Linked DNA regions of Arabidopsis thaliana. The protein of the gene in region 1 interacts with the protein of each later gene in a pairwise test. Each region holds a gene or a part of one and is shown on either strand. Other genes may lie near its edges.

What was found.
Region 2: the proteins of IDD12 (region 1) and AT3G12130 interact in a two-hybrid assay, tested with the Arabidopsis thaliana proteins (one large-scale study listed by BioGRID).
Region 3: the proteins of IDD12 (region 1) and ZFP5 interact in a two-hybrid assay, tested with the Arabidopsis thaliana proteins (one large-scale study listed by BioGRID).
Region 4: the proteins of IDD12 (region 1) and AT5G43620 interact in a two-hybrid assay, tested with the Arabidopsis thaliana proteins (one large-scale study listed by BioGRID).

The regions. Positions count from the first base shown.
Region 1 is NC_003075.7:1,175,468-1,180,605, forward strand, and holds IDD12 (indeterminate(ID)-domain 12), read right to left. Parts: upstream 3,158-5,138; 5' UTR 3,029-3,157; coding exon 2,836-3,028; intron 2,600-2,835; coding exon 2,200-2,599; intron 1,345-2,199; coding exon 723-1,344; 3' UTR 533-722; downstream 1-532. UniProt on the Arabidopsis thaliana protein: Probable transcription factor.
Region 2 is NC_003074.8:3,863,537-3,868,347, forward strand, and holds AT3G12130 (KH domain-containing protein / zinc finger (CCCH type) family protein), read right to left. Parts: upstream 3,146-4,811; 5' UTR 2,871-3,145; coding exon 2,792-2,870; intron 2,112-2,791; coding exon 2,051-2,111; intron 1,557-2,050; coding exon 950-1,556; 3' UTR 535-949; downstream 1-534.
Region 3 is NC_003070.9:3,447,843-3,451,735, forward strand, and holds ZFP5 (zinc finger protein 5), read left to right. Parts: upstream 1-1,848; 5' UTR 1,849-1,891; coding exon 1,892-2,527; 3' UTR 2,528-3,384; downstream 3,385-3,893.
Region 4 is NC_003076.8:17,520,815-17,524,515, forward strand, and holds AT5G43620 (Pre-mRNA cleavage complex II), read left to right. Parts: upstream 1-1,671; 5' UTR 1,672-1,838; coding exon 1,839-3,071; 3' UTR 3,072-3,189; downstream 3,190-3,701. Other genes in the region: SUC6 (sucrose-proton symporter 6), read left to right, coding at 25-194.

The DNA.
Region 1 (5,138 bases):
ATTGGTATAGCGACTATTCATCACAGTATGAAAATGATACATACATGTTAGTGTTCGTTACTAATGCCATAGTGGCAACATAAATGACCATCAATAGTATAAGCTCCTTGTCACTGATTAGTGATTACGATAGAAACTTGTTAACAACAATCAGAACAACAATAAATATGTTTGTCGACACCTATTGCCAAATTTGAGTTACGATGAATATGTATTTCTCAATGTGTATAAGATTGGCAATATATATCTTCAGAAGACAAAAGTGCATATTACATGATGTATACATGTAACGTGGATATGATGAAAGAAGTTGTATACTTGTATAGTATCTATCACAGTCAAATAAGCTGGCTTTGAGAGGACACATTCGTCAATCCCTAGAGACGTTGCAGTTTTGTGGGACTTTTACCGATCCATTTTTTAAGGAAAATCATATTATTTTTGATTTTTCATGTAATGTCCAAGTAAAAACTTTTTTAGGTTTTTTAACGGACATAATATTGACTAAGGAAATTCTAAATGTTCCTTACTTCCTTGTACGAATATATTTTTACAAGAAAATCCAACGTAAACGAGACAAAAATTCAAAGCTAGCAACAATTTTAGAAAATTAATAATCCCCAGAAAGAAATGCTCTGTGTCTTTTTTTTTGTCCACGAGGGTATTTAAGTAATTTGAGAGAAACAAAATAAAGAAAGTAACAAGATTCCAGTTTTGCCCTTTTACATACGATGGGCCCCTGAGAATCCCAGATGATCGTAAGCCTTCTGAAACGAGTGATCATGAGATTCGGTATCGTACGCCGACATAGGAAACGCCACTCCACCCGCGTACTCTAGCATATCCCCAGGTCTGACGCTAACGTGTCCCCCATGACCCGTGAGTCCAAGAAAGTCTCTGGTCAAACGGTCAGCTTTCTGCCACGTGGACGTAAACCCATCAACAACTAACTGGTCGTACTCAGACGAAGAAGCTGACGTCATCATGACTCGGTCAACACCAAGAAACTCGTTGACGTTCGTCAAATGTCGGTGATGACCAATGGATCGAGTCTGTCCTCCGCCGCCGAAAGTAGTGGAGCTGAGAGAGGTGGCCTTTTGGAGAAGAGCCGTCGCGGAAAGAGCTGCCGTTGGAGGCGTTGAAAGAGCGGCGGTGGAAAGTGATGGTTCGATGAAAAGAGGTGATGACGTGAAGAGCAAGGAGGAAGATTTATTGAACATAAAATGATGGCCTTGGAAATTAGGGTTAGGGTTTGTGAGATTGGAGGAAGAAGTTGAGTGGAGTCTTGCACTTTCTTCTGCTAATGCATCACAAAACGCTCTATGCGTTATGAAAGTGTCTTTCCTGTTTATAAAATATATATATCACAAACAAACAAAAACAAATATTAGATAGAAACATAAACAATATATGTATGTATGATCAATAATGATGCAATTGTAACATTAAACCAAAAATAAAATGATGCAATTGCAAGTAGTGAAATAGTTTGGAGTGGACCATACAGAGATAATAAAGAAGTTTCAAAATTCAAAGAAAAGCTTTTGAAGCCTATTATGTCATGATGGACCAATGCAATTTTACACACAGCAAATCAAATCATAGATTATCAAAATCTTTTTACAAAAAAAAAAATTACAAAATCAAATCAAGATTCTTTTTCACTATTATGATGATGAAGGAGAAGATTCACCTGCAGGCTTCTTTTTATCTCCTCATTAAATCAACACAAATTTTACATATAATGTTATTAAAAAATCATTTTTTGTTGGACAAGAATTAATTTATATTACACAAATACATACATATTAGCTCTAAAAAAGTGTGAAGTGATTTATGTAAAAAAAAAAAAAATTATATATACACGCAATAATGGCCAACATGTAAATATAATGTCTTAATCCATGAATTTTGCCACTGCATTTAATTGCACTCAAACTATATTCCATGGACAGTCACAAGCAGATTTGTCAAAGAACATAACCAAAAGAAGACAATTGAAATCAGTCACACGAAAGCATTAAATTCATCTATATATATCAAACTACTCCAAGAAAAACTATTGACTCCTATCTCTATAGAGATAGACAATAATTTAGATTTGTCACAGAAACATCAGTAAAATTTTCAAGAAAGACAAGGAACAAAGAAAGAACTTGACATAAAGAACAAAAAAATGAAAAATTAAAAAAGGGTTACCTCGAGAAAAGAGTGCCGCAGTCACATCTATAATCTCTAGTACCACAGATCTTGGTATGAGCTTTCCAATCAGATTGAACAGCATAGAACTTTGAACACTTTTCACATTTCCATTTCTTCTCTCCATGTTTCCTGCAAAAGTGTTTCTTGATCCCTGTGAGATCCCCAAGAGCTCTAGATGGATGGTGATGAGCACAGTTTGTCTCTGGGCACACGTAGACTTTCTTCTTTTGTTGTTCTTTGGTGTTCTTCTGTTTCAGCTTCCATGGAAGATTGTGGCCTCTCCTGTGAAGCTGTAGATTCTGATCTCTTTGAAACCCTTTGTTGCATATCTCACAAACGAATCTGTTTGTTGCAAGAAGTGTCTTTGGTGATAATGCGATCACTTCTGCATCTGGATCTGCCACATAATAAACCAGTTTCACATGAAAAATAAAGTCTCAAACACATAGTCTTGGTAAAAAGATGATATTCACACAAACCCTAATATTAAAAAAAGGAAGACTTTTTTGCAAAACCCCATAAGAAAAAGTTTAGGTTCCAAGATTCTACCAGGAATCAAAGACAGTATCCTGATTCATTTGGTTTTTCAAGATTCCAAATGAAAAAAAAAAAAAAAAAGTACTATTTTCTTACCAGGATTTCCAGGAAGGCCTCTCTTTTTCTTAGGCTTGTGAGTCTCTGTGTGTGTACAAACACTAGAAATCACATTGTGAAAGCCACTGAATTCTTGGATGGTACTGAGTGTGTTGTTACCAGAAGAGGCACTTGCTTCAGTAGACAAAGAGCTTAGCTTATAGGACAAGGAATGAGAAGAAAACATATCCATGGCTAGCTATATGGTTATAGCTATATGAAGAAGGAAACTCCAACAAAAGAAAAAACAAAAACAAAACTTGGAAGAAAACTATAAAAAGATCCAAACTTTGGTTTCTTCTGATCTCTTAAAATAAGGAACTGCAAGTACCTAGAGAGTAAGAAGTAAGTGTACACAGAAAGACATCATTCTTTGGCTATATATGCAAAATTAAATAATTTAGTTACTTGAGTAGTGTATATAATGCACATGTATATGTATAGTCTCAAAAGCAAGAAGACGACCATGATGGATTATTCTCCAATGTCACTATCATGTACACATATATGTGTGTGCTTACAATAAATGCAAAGACTGTTTGATTCCCATTTTTATTAGTTTTTCTATGTGCAGATAAATACCACAGAGGAAAGAGATTGTGCTTGAAAGTGAGACTTTGACTTTGTTTTCATATATCTTTAACTGTTTTTTATTTTTTATTCCTCAGTTTTATTCTTTATTTTATGTAATTTTTTAAGTGTTCTGCATTACAGAGAAGAGTGATGATTACAGGTTCAGACTATAAGCATTTACTTGAAATTGTCTACTAAAAAAGAAGAGTAGACCCAGAAAGAAAAAAAGCAAGCTATCAATTTGTGCAATTAATGGAAAATATTGTGAGATGAGACTTATCAGGCCTAATTTCCTTAAATGGAAGTAATAATCACTTTTATATCAAGAAAAGTGTGCCTCTTTTCAATTTATTGGGGTTTGAATAATGGAAACTTTTTTTGTTTTGTTTAAGTTTGTAAAGAGAATCTAAACACACAATTACTTAGCCAAAATAAACGTTGTTCTTATAATAGAAGAACTAAATTTAGTAATACAACCATTGAGGAATATCTAATAGGAAACTATCTACTGGAAAATTAAGTATCCAAGATGAAATTGTTTGACTTATTGCCAAGAGTATAAGTATACTTGTTCAATTGTGCTATTTTCTATTTGTATTTCCTTATTACTTTAGCTAGGGATTCTAGTTCGATTTTATTTCATGTAGAAAAAGCTATAACTTTCTTCTGAATTTGTCTTTAAATATTATTATATTTTACTTGTGTGTTATTATGAATTTGAGTGATGTTACTTTCTCTACCAAGGCTGCTAAAGCTTTATCTTTTTTTTTCCTTATAGTTTCTCTCATTCCCATAATATACCCAAAATTCTTAAAAAGGCACACTGATTTGAATGAAACTTATCATAAGCTATAAAATAAATTAAAACAACGTAAGGAAATAGAAACTCATTGTAAAAAGGGAACATCATACAAAGATTCTAACAAAAAAAAAACAAATTTAGGTTTAAAGCTATTTCGCCCTAAAGACGAATTAAACAACTTTATTGTCTATTTCTCTAATTTAAATTTAAATTCTGATTATACAACATCCTTACATGCCTCCTAACTTAAGTTTGAATCACTCACAAAGATAAAAGAGAGTTGTATTTGTAGGGGAGAAAAATACATACACTCAAAGCAACCAATGCCCTAAAAGCATTTTGGCTTTGAATATCAAAATGGAATATATCACTTTGTTGAATTTTGTTTCGTCTTCATATGATTTACTCTTGTGGATGACTTTGTGGCTTTGTGCTATCTTCCTCTTCCTTTTTTTCCAACCTTTATAAGTTTTTGATTAATATTCTTAATATATCCCTTTGAAAATTGTTCATGTCCAAAAAGAAAATACTTACCCCACCAACAAGAATTTTTCGCACTCTTTCATCCGTTCTTTAACTTTTTATCTGTTGAAATTTTTCTATAGAAAAATATTCCAATGAAGAACATTTTGTTAAGTCGATTTTGTCCTTAGACGTGTCTTGTACCATTTGATTCATTGGGATAGGCGTGTCTACTGTAGTAAAATTCAGTTTATGATGGAATCCCTTTAGGCCAAAACAAAACAAAACGTGTGACCATTATGAGACACGAGCGTAACTAAAACCCATGCAACACCGAATATTCTTCTTTTAAAATTTTCATAAAGGCTTTTTTGAATTGTGAAATATTCTGAAAATATATATGCTATACGAAGGAAATAAACACATGAATATTCGAATTCTTGTAACAAACAAAGGGAAAATTTTA
Region 2 (4,811 bases), on another chromosome or scaffold:
CTTAACCATTTGATTAACACCAACTTGGTTGGATTCAACTTTTTTATATTTAAGTTTCGTCTCTATTATTACTAGTTTGCCACTTACACAAGTCGTAAGCAGTGGTAGGCGGGGAAAGGGCTAAAAGTGGAAAAGAGAGTTCTTACGTTTGGCTTCTTCTATCATGTGAAACATTAAAATATCTACAGACATTGTGTTGTGGTGGACTGGTGGTCACGTGTATGGATACCCAAACGTGATGCACTTTGGTAGATTCGTGCGGATTTTCTCTTGTTTATGTTTTCAATTGTAATCTTTATTATATTATTAATCAAATTAGGTGGCGGACGGAAAATACAAGTACAAGTTAATGCAATCAATTAATTGGGATGATTAAGTTAAGTCTCTTGCATTGGACTTCTATTTTTCTATCTATCTATTTACCGCGTATAACGACGACACACCTTAATTTCAACATTTTTAAGATCACCCGTCACCAACCATTTATTTTGATCTTTTTCTTCTATCAATCACGGATTTTTATTAAACCATTTTTCTCACAAGAAACCACATTTTTGTTCTTAATAAGTGTTAACTGATCTCGATTCAAACAGTTAGCAAAGACTCCAACATATTCAGAAAATCTTACGAAAATTATATAAGTGATTCACACACATGACATAACGGAGATAACAAGAATATGAATAAAAGGCGTCATACAATCCTAACCACTGTTTCTGAGTTTTGTCAATCATTCTCTTCAAGCTTCCTCCCATCTCAATTCATACTCAGAATTAACCAAAAACTAAACTATTAAAAAAAACACCAAATAGACTTACAATGATAATGAAACTAAAATTGTATTCTCTCATAACAAACAAAAACAAAGTAGGTGAAGATGATATCAGATATCACCACCACTAAATAAGAAACTAGTTTTACCAGCAAATTCTCTATCTGCAAGCAACAACTAGACGATTCCTGACTTGCGTAGCTCTGCTTCCCCATGAGCAAAGTGACATCTATCACCAAATGTACAGTTTCCTTTTGAGAATCTCTCACATATCTTAGTCTTGAAGTTGCTCCCTGGATGTGGTTTCCCTTCAGAACCCATGCCACCACCACCACCAAGACCACCACCAGGTGGTTTCTTAGCTGCTGAATTAAGCCTCCCAATCAAATCTTTTACCATTGCACTCGCTTCGCTTATCTGCTCAAGTGTTCCTTCAAGCACAATGTTCTTCAAGTTTGGGTCTCTCTCGTGATCTTGAATTGATAATTTTACTCCCGTCTGACGACATATCTGCTTTGAACTGACTCCGCCTTTCCCAATGATTGCACCGGCTAAAGAGGCATCAACACTGAATCTGGCAGTGGCTGAGTCACCAAAGTTAGAGACATGGCCAGGCCCAGACTCTCCCCTCCCTGAGAATCGGCCTCCATTACCAGAACCTTGCATGTTTCTGGAAACTTGAGGAATGGGTGGTCCCATATTTGTCATCTGCGATACAGCATTGTATCCTCCGGGAACATAATGCAAGAAATGGCAATTCTCTCCGAAAGGACAGCCAGAAGTACTGCAATAGAAGCATAATACATCAGAGATTTAAACACAATGGGAATAGAATAGCACAAGAACAAACCAAATAGAGACAGAAGAAATAGCATATTGATACAGCAATGATCATTGTGCTATAAGAGAATAAAAATAGTAATCCGGTTCTGCTTATAGATGCGCGGCAATTCCACTAGTAATGCGACAACTTTACCTGACCATAAACAACTATATTATAAACCCAAAATCACTAATACCCTACCACCAAATAGAAGAACAACTATCACAGCTCAAACAAAATACATGTTTTGGTTGATTTTGTTATGTTATAACAACCAGTTGAACTAAATGATTCTCAAACTAGATACGCTTATCTATTCAGATTGAAACATGTTTACATACCTGTATAACAACTAACCACTTCATTAGCATCTAGTATTACTTGGTAATTTCGGGATCAAACTTGCAGGTAGATAACAATTCGAATATTAATTCATTAAGTAAAAGGATTATAACCTGAAAAATTTTGTGCATGGCTTCGATTTGCTTCCTAAACCAGTTGAATATGATTCCATCTCTGTTCCAAACATTAAGTGTTTTCCTTTAGTTAAAAACTTATCTGAAGTTCAATATATTGCTTTTAGAATCCAACATATCATTCATACATTCATCTTATCATCTATATGAAACTTTCAAATCAAAAGATGCATAATGTTTTTTAATGTTTTCAGGATAACTAACCAACTGGACACAAAAACACTTTGCAGAGGAAAAAGGCTTATTCAATCAACAAAACTAAATCCTTGGTATGGTTATAAACTGTTATTAGCTTTATATTTGAGAAGAGGGATTAAAGTAAAGAAATACTAAAACTCAAGGACAGTGGAAGATATAAGCTTGAGACCAACAAAACCCAGTAATTAACATTTAACAATAGTAACAACTTAGCTAAAGCTGATCTATCATCACTCAATTTAGATTTACATCAGATAAAAAAGGCCAGTACTTTTTGCAGTAATCTAGCTAATTAACAAGATAAGTAAGCAAACAGAACACGAAATCACCAAAACAAAGCACCGAGAACGAAAGAAGAAAATTTTGCCTCCTAGTAAATCTCATAACTAGCAAAAAAAAGTCTTAATTTTACCCACAACTTAAGATCTCGAATTTAAACCTTAATCAGAGACAGTGAAACATAAGGAACTAAAAAAGATCGGTACAACAGAATTCCAGTAGATAAAGAGTAAAAGAACTAACCTTGCTTAGACTTCTTGTATCCGCCGCCATTGGAGTTGAATGAGCCAGCTTCAGGCCGTCCTCTCTTACGAGTATCCATGATTAAGTATAGATCCGATACGAGAGTAGAAATCAAATTGACTCTAGAGTCTAGAGAGCGAAAGGAAAAGCGAATCGGAGAAGACAAATCGAAATCGGAATAGGGAAAAAGAGTTAGAGAGAATAAGCGAGAAAATAAACCTAACCCTAAGGTGGTTGTCGTCGAGGGAAAAAGATGAGATTTTCCTCTTTTTTGTTTACTCTTGCCGGTTTTTTTTATTGGAACTTAAACCGGCGTGGCCCAGTGCACAAAATAAGATGTAAACCGAAATTTCTCTGTAAAGGACAATAAACCGGAAAGATTTAGCTTAACGTGGGCCGTGAAGTAAGCGGTGCGCCTGTTTACGATAAGCTAAAATGTCAAATGGATGACGTCATGTTTTCCTTATTTGATCTCTTTGTAACATTAACAAAATGGAACTTTTACCGGCCCATTAACGGCCCACAACTTCTTTTAATGGCACAAAATTTCAGTTCGAAGTTACTGAAATCTTGGGATAATGACTATGAAACTTGCAATCAATAAAAATGTCAGCTATAACTATTCGGGATTTGTGGAAGCATTTGATTGGTTTCTGTTTTACCAATCACAGTTGTAAACAGAAAAAATGTTAAATATTGAAAGAAAAAATGTGGAAGAAACAAAAATAAAACTCAATAAGCCAAAGAGACTCAAAAGCTTAAAGACACTCTTGAATGACTTGATAAGTATTCCCTACAGCTACAAGAGCCAAAAATGCTAAGGCTATTAAAATCAGCAAGGGTTGAATATTCTTGCGAAATGCAACAAGTTGGTCCTTGTGATCCTCCCTAATATGTACCTTGGCCATCACAAAATCATCTTCTTGTTTCTCATGATGAGCCTTCTTGATTCCTTCTTCATGTGCCAATTCCTCAAGCCTAAACAAAACGTCTGAATCAACCAACAAGTCTGAAGCATTATGATCATTATTAAGATCAGTTTGAGGGATCAGTTTAAGGATCGGATATTTGGAGTCTGACGATGAACGCGGGAAAGACTGAGATCGACAAACTCGTTTCCGATTGGGACGACACTTATATTCTTGAAATCATATTGCACCATTGTATTTTTTTTCTTAAGAGAGGAATACCAAAGAAGCTTTGCTTAGGCTTTGGGAGAACAAACGAATGCATTACATGTTTGTTCTTTAGGAATAGACGATAGAAAGGGAATAGGCAAAATATAACTACTTAGAGGGATTAGGCCAAATCTAAAAGAACACGGATTAGTTGGGAAAAAAATGGTGAATATTTTCATTGTCATCTACCTAGTTTCCTTTTTTTTATAAAAAAAATCCTTTTAATATTATCAAATAAAAAATAATACCTAATGAATTTAATTTTATTAGAACAAATTCCATTATTCTAAAAAAATAGAGTAAAAATTGGGAAAAAAAGAAGATATGCGTGGCAAAAAAAGAAAGAGGAAGAAGGTAAACGGGTCAAAGAATATCTACGTTGCTTCTACAATTCTCTATTATTGACAGCTTCTTCTTTCCCCTTTCTCTCTCGACTTCTAACAATCGCATAATCTCCGATCATCTTCTTCTTCTTCTCTCTTCTCCGTTATTCCTCCCGATTCTGCGATTTCTCAGCTTACATGATGACTGGAAACCCGATCCCAGTCAATCTCTCTAAGGAGGGTTCTTCGTCTCCAGGTATTTATAAAATTCCTTCTTGAGCTAGGATTTTGTTTGATTCATCGCTTTCTGTGTTTGATTTTTTACATATTTCCTGCTCTCTATAGCTTTATTTCATCATCGGTCTCTGGTGTCGAATTTGTTTCCGGCTCTTGTCAAGTAGTTTGGGACCTTAATACCTTCAAATCCGTTATCTCGTAGGGATTACAAAGAAATCGCAACGAGCTGATTTAGAAGAATTCGATTGAATAAATCAAACATGCTAGATCGAAGATGAATGA
Region 3 (3,893 bases), on another chromosome or scaffold:
TATAGAAACCAACCCACCCACCCACCTAGTAGCCACCATAAAGAAACTTTCAGAAAATCATAATTAGCTAAAATTATTCCACATGCTATTGGATAAATAAAAGATTATCGTTGACAGCATACTTATTTGGAATTCTTCTTTCCCTCGATTGATATAATATTACAATTTCTTACTTCAAAATTTTAAATAAAGGACCTGAGCGAGAGGAAAGAGGCTTTGATTGCATGAGACACCTATTGGTGGCAAGAAAGTCTACCAATCAGAGATCTTAGGTTGTACGAGTGAATATAATTATAACACCTAATAAGGATTAATTATTGTTATTTCACTTAATTGTCTTGATCTATCTTTTAAGTTACAGAGCAGTGGGGTCCTTAATTGGAACAACTGTCCAAACCAAATGCCATTTCATTAGACTTATTTGTATTAAAATAAGATTATCCCATGACTTGATTCACCTGAAAATAGAATAATCTATACCTTTCTTTAATATCAGTTTTCTTTCTGTATAAAATATTGTCTTCTCATGCTTTATGAAGATTTGCCCAAGATCTTGTTTTGAAGATTAGACTTATGAATATAATTTTTATTTGTTAAATAGTATAGATGCTTGCATCATTGCCCACTTCTTGTATTCCTTCATTTGGCAACTAACTATTCTCCCTGTTTAATGTAATAAGTAATTAACATTCATTAAACATGGTCAAGATAGGCTTTTTCTTTCTTTTTCACAGTAATTAGACAAATAAGATTTGGTTTAGGTGGAAGACATTGAGATAAATTACAAGAAAGCTTCAATTCATGCTCCATCATCAATTCTCTCTGCGAGCAACTTTAATTGATGGGAAATTTCAAAAATCTACAATGATAATTACATAAAAACACATCAATAAAAAGAATATCCAGTAGACTATTAACTTTGTTAGAGAACAAGGGACGACGATTCGTTTGATTTCGTTCTTGTTGCAATATGCTCTTGAGTGAACGTTTTGATACAAAATGTCATCTGCTCGCTTAAATTTATGATGGATATATGCGTTATTCAAATACATAGTGAAATTTAATATCATTATGGGATCAAAATATTATACTTAACCTTCCATGTTGATTATATTTTTTGGCCTAAGTTGGTTAGCCTTATTTCTTCATATCTTTCTTTGACTTTTGATATTAGATCAATAATATGATATTAACATCTTAATGTTCTCTTTAAGCTTAGAATATAACTTTTGTATTAATTGTCACAAGTGGTGTGATCGCTGCATGCCTTTTCAAATATATTTATTTATTCATCATATCTCAACTTAATCTAACTATTTTATTCACGCACTAAACAGAAAGTATTTTTCCACAATATTTAAAATAAATTAAATTTGATCAATTTTAAGTAAATGTAGATATAATAGTATAATACATAAGATAAAAGATAAAACAAGTTGACAAGTTAAGTCTTTATATATAGTATTTAAAAGATTTCTCTAACCCGTTTTATCATTTTGCCCTTTTTCTTTCCCATATATGCATATGCGCGTGGTATCCACATATATCTCTATAAAACCTATTACATGTTAGTGTAATATTTATTGTACCTATCAAGGTTTATTTTCCAAGATCATTTCTCGTCACACCTTAGATTCAAACAACTAATTTTATTATAAACCCTAAAATACTATAACTTGATGCTGTTCATGACTAATATAAAAAACCCTTCATACAATATAAAATTTCTTTAGACATACAATATATTATACTATTACAGATGCAATGCATCATTAGTTACAAACTATTAAACTAAATATCCCCCGTCTCTCTCTTGCTATATAAAGAAGATCATTTACACATCTCCTTAAGCAAATTAAACCCATCGATAAACACATACGTTCACACATATATGTCTATAAATCCGACAATGTCTCGTACTGGCGAAAGTTCTTCAGGTTCGTCCTCCGACAAGACGATAAAGCTATTCGGCTTCGAACTCATCAGCGGCAGTCGTACGCCGGAAATCACGACGGCGGAAAGCGTGAGCTCGTCCACAAACACGACGTCGTTAACAGTGATGAAAAGACACGAGTGCCAATACTGCGGTAAAGAGTTTGCAAATTCTCAAGCCTTAGGAGGTCACCAAAACGCTCACAAGAAGGAGAGGTTGAAGAAGAAGAGGCTTCAGCTTCAAGCTCGGCGAGCCAGCATCGGCTATTATCTCACCAACCACCAACAACCCATAACGACGTCATTTCAGAGACAATACAAAACGCCGTCGTATTGTGCATTCTCCTCCATGCACGTGAATAATGATCAGATGGGTGTGTACAACGAAGATTGGTCGTCGAGGTCGTCGCAGATTAACTTCGGTAATAATGACACGTGCCAAGATCTTAATGAACAAAGCGGTGAGATGGGTAAGCTGTACGGTGTTCGACCGAACATGATTCAGTTCCAGAGAGATCTGAGTTCTCGTTCTGATCAGATGAGAAGTATTAACTCGCTGGATCTTCATCTAGGTTTTGCCGGAGATGCGGCATAACAAATTAAAGAGAGATATATGATTAAGATTATATGTACTATAGTGGCGTATTTCATTGGGATCATGAAGGGGAAAAAACGAGACATATAGTATTCTTGATGCAATTTGAGTTTTGTAATTTATTTAGGTTTATGTATGTTTTCGAAGAAAAAAATAATTCCAAGTGATGTTGTGGAATTATTCAAAAAAAGAAAAAAAACTTTATTAGATGGCTTTACTAGAAAATTCTCGATCATCATCGTCATCCGATACAAAATAAAGTCAGGTAGAGGATCGAGCATTTATAAATTATGGAATAACAATAAATCGTACTATGGAAGCAAATCATTTTCTTGTTCCTTAGTTTGCTGACCGTACATATACTAGTTGACAAGGTTAATCCATAAATCTCTTTGTATCATTGTGTGCTGTGTTTTTTTTTTTTTTTTTTTAATACTGTGTGCCGTGTTGGTGCATTTGCGTAATTGATGGAGGCAACATTTTGAACATAATCACTTTCTTGTTGCTTAATTAGTGTATATGGCCATGGGTACGTTCTTCCTATTGGTACATATGCATGTATTTATATTACAAGGTGAGTATTCGTTACAAGTTGTGTACATATGTTCTTACACGTGCAATTCGTACACGCCTCAATTTGATTTATAGTCAAATTTCAAAAAATTTGTTAGAAATTTCATCTCAAAAGTTATAATATGATCTAACGTGAGACTAAAAAACATATGTGAATTTGAATGATATAAACTTGATGTTTTTTTTTAATAACCTATATACTTATTGTAGGTACAATCCAACGATTTTATGAATGTTGTATTTTTTTTGTATACACTGTAAAGACGATTTTATGTCATGGCTATTAATATAAGAATATACATTTTAAAAATAAGATTTTAAACTGATGTCTCTTACCAATCTCAAGACGAGTACTTGTGATTCTTCGGAGACAATGAGAAGAGTTTGTAAATTCTGAATACTCCTTAAACGAACAGAATAAGTGAATTTAGTGGTGGATATAACTAGCTTGACTTTAGATCTTATTCTTTCAAATAGATTTGGTGTAAGATTGATTCGACATTTCCCATTAAATCTCCAAACAAATATGTGCATCAATTCGTAACTGTACAGCTTTAAAAATACATATAATAAATGGAGTCGGCAGGTTTGTATATTAAATTAATTTGCGTGATTGGAATGATAAGCTTAAGATCCATCATCCAGTGTTGGAGGTCCCTTTAATTTTTGTCTACACATGTCACTTCCGACACCAACGGAACTCCATTTGCTTATGTGTGTATTGGATGCTTATCCCATTTAATTAAAAAAAAAAATGTTTTTAAAAGGTATTATTCCTTTATTGTCCAATTCG
Region 4 (3,701 bases), on another chromosome or scaffold:
GTGTTCTTTTTGTTGTCATCGCAGGACTCTCTCTAGGCGTTTTAAACATGACAATAGTGATACCACAAATGGTTGTATCATTTGGAGTTGGTCCTATTGATGCGTTATTTGGAGGTGGGAATTTACCAGGATTTGTGGTTGGAGCTATTGCAGCGGCAATCAGCAGTGTTGTGGCATTTTCCGTTTTACCATAATTTTTTTTGCGTTTTATTTGGTATATATGGACATGTTTAATATTATTGTAGCACTAGATAAGGACCCATACATGTATACTTGAAATTAATTTAAATTTCTCCTGTTAAATTACTGAAATTAATTTAAAATTTATGGCAGTTCTTACAAATAACACAAAAAATAAGTTAATTCCAAATTTAGCAAATCATCTCCAAAGTTCCAAAGTAACACAAATTAAATACATAAAACTTTTTTTTTTAACTTTATGGATGAATTAGGAAAATGTCGCCTAAAGATAAAAAAACAATTCTCTTGAAAAAAAAATATTCTTATATACCACGGTTTAAAACATTTTGTTCCAAATTGACTCTTAATTCCCACAAATTTTCTTTCTCTGATGGTAGATTATATGAGTCACAAAATTATCATTATTCGGTAGTAACTATTATTTTCTTTGTTTCTTATTAATTAATTTTTTAGAAAAAAAAGTTTGTTTCATGAAGCAATTTTTTAGGTTTTCTATACACTATTTATTAGTTATTATTGATGAATTTTAAACTTCAAGACAAATAATTAAATATCAGTAGTTTAAAATTATATAAAAATGTAAATCACAAAAGTTAATACATTTATAATCAATTTTAACATGTTTTTTTTAATCTATGTATTTTTTTCTAAAAAATGAATAATTAAAACATGACTAAATTTTGGCGACTTTCTATATCGTTTTGGCTAGTTTAATTATTTTATATTTTAATTATTTACAAAGATTGATATTACTGTCTTCTTTTCTTTTCTATTTTTGAACTATATATCACTCGTAAAAACTTCATCTTACACAAAAAAAGAAAAAAAGGTGATACATACGAATCTAAAGACCTGACTGCTTGAGAATACCTCTCTTCCTGGCATCAAAGGGATTGAAAAGAATGAAAATTGCGCTGACCAACGTATAAGCAGGATTGTTAAATTTACTGCACTAGGTTATTAAAAGGCCATACCTCTTCTTCAGATACTTTGTTTAACCACTCGTCTTGCTGATTCCATTTGCGTACAATAACCTTGTTTAGTCAACAAAAGATAGTGAATATATATTCACTTACGGTTTATACAGTTCCATGGTGCTACTAACAGGATATCACAGAGACCAGAGACCAGAACATTACTAAATGACATTTGAGGAATTTGATAAAAGTTCAAATTCGATAAAAGCTTTAAACTTTGAAGAAGTAGTTAACAAACCTGAGTATCGATTCCAACAAGCGTATGCTGAGGAACATCGAGAAAGAGAAGCGTAGCTCCATGCTTTACAAGCTCTAGTGCCTTCTTAGAATCCATAGCTTCCTTCTTCAAAATAGAGCGGAACAACGACTATATTCCAGAAGCCCCATTAAACAGGCCCATTAAAATATTGGGCCTATAAAGCGTGGCCCAAAACATGTGACAACGCGCGATTCACGCGGTTTACTTTATCAACCGACATAATCACATAAACGTTTATTTATAGAGAAACCTATCTTCCTGCCTCTTCAGATTCGTTTTATTTTTCAATCGTTTCAATTTCTAAAATTCTCAACGCGATCACCCCAATCCAAATTTAGGGTTTCTTTTGTCTTTCTGCGATCGATCTCTGGTAACTCATAACTTGTTGTTGAATCGCGAAGATGGCATCAAACGGATCCTTCTCTGCTCAGAGAAACGCAAACGCTGGAACAACGATGAAGAGACGAAACGACAATCGCGGTTACGGTGGCGGAATCGGATGTTATCAAGAGGAGAGGAACCGTTACGCGCCGCCGCAAAAACGTTTCAGATCGCAACTGCAACAGCAATTCCGATCTGGTCATAATCCTCTGTATCATTATGGTAGTAATACTAATAATAACGTGTCTAGGGTTTCTTCTCAGTCATATAACAATTACGGTGTTGATGTGATTGCTTCTAATTCAAGTTTTGCTTTACCTAACAATGATTCTAACACCAACAATTATCAGAAACCCTTTGTTGTTTATGGAAACCCTAATCCCCAAATTGTTCCTCTTCCATTACCTTATCGTAAGCTTGATCCTTTAGATTCGTTGCCTCAATGGGTTCCAAATTCAACTCCGAATTATCCTGTTAGGTCATCGAATTTTGTACCAAACACACCTGATTTTACGAATGTTCAAAATCCGATGAATCATTCGAACATGGTTTCAGTTGTGTCTCAATCGATGCATCAACCAATTGTTTTAAGCAAAGAATTGACTGATTTGCTTAGTCTTCTTAACAATGAGAAAGAGAAGAAAACTTCAGAAGCAAGTAATAATGATTCATTGCCTGTTGGATTAAGCTTTGACAATCCATCATCGCTTAATGTTCGACATGAATCTGTGATTAAGTCTCTGTATTCTGATATGCCGAGGCAATGTACTTCGTGTGGGGTGAGATTCAAATGTCAAGAAGAGCATAGTAAACATATGGATTGGCACGTAAGGAAGAACAGGTCGGTGAAAACCACTACAAGACTTGGTCAGCAACCGAAGAAATCGAGGGGATGGTTAGCGAGTGCATCTTTATGGCTTTGTGCACCAACGGGAGGAGGGACCGTAGAAGTAGCATCTTTTGGAGGAGGAGAAATGCAGAAGAAGAATGAAAAGGATCAAGTACAAAAACAACACATGGTGCCTGCGGATGAAGATCAGAAGAATTGCGCGTTATGCGTAGAGCCGTTTGAAGAGTTCTTTAGCCATGAAGCTGATGACTGGATGTACAAAGATGCAGTCTACTTAACCAAGAATGGTCGTATAGTTCATGTTAAGTGTATGCCTGAACCCCGACCTGCTAAGGATTTGAGAGAGCCGTCGAGGGTAATGTCTGTTACAGTTCCATCGGTTGCGAAAGCTATACTCTGCTGATTGAGATTTTTTATATCTCTGTTTTAGTCATTCGTTTTTTTAAAAGTAAATGTACATTACATTAATCAAGATGTAACACAAATACAGTTCTATCAATTGAATCTCCTATTTTACTCTTATCACCTCTTTACTTTTAATCCGGAGTTATAGAGTCTGTTTTATTGTAATCCAGAATTATAGTATAGATTGTTCCGGATTAACCAGTGAAATCTCACTTGATTCCCGGTTTACATAAACCAGACTCTCTATACCAATAAACCGAAACAAGGAAACCAATTCCTTTGTGTAACTCTCTATATTTATTCTCATTCTAATGAGATAACACATTCACAATCTATAAGTATAATGATGATGTCTGATCTTCCGGTGGCTTTGGTAGAAGAGATACTCTCTAGGGTTCCATTAACATCTCTAAGCGCGGTGCGATCTACTTGTAAAACGTGGAACGCTGTAGGATTAACATCTCTGTAGACTTATATTGGTATATGGTTTATGCGTAAGATTTCTCTTTTAAACCTTTTAAAAGAAGAATCTTTTATTTTGTTAGGTAACCCCTCGTCGGCCCTTTAAGTTTCTTACACCACGTGATCGGTTATCCTATGTATATACTACGTTCGTGAATGACCTATT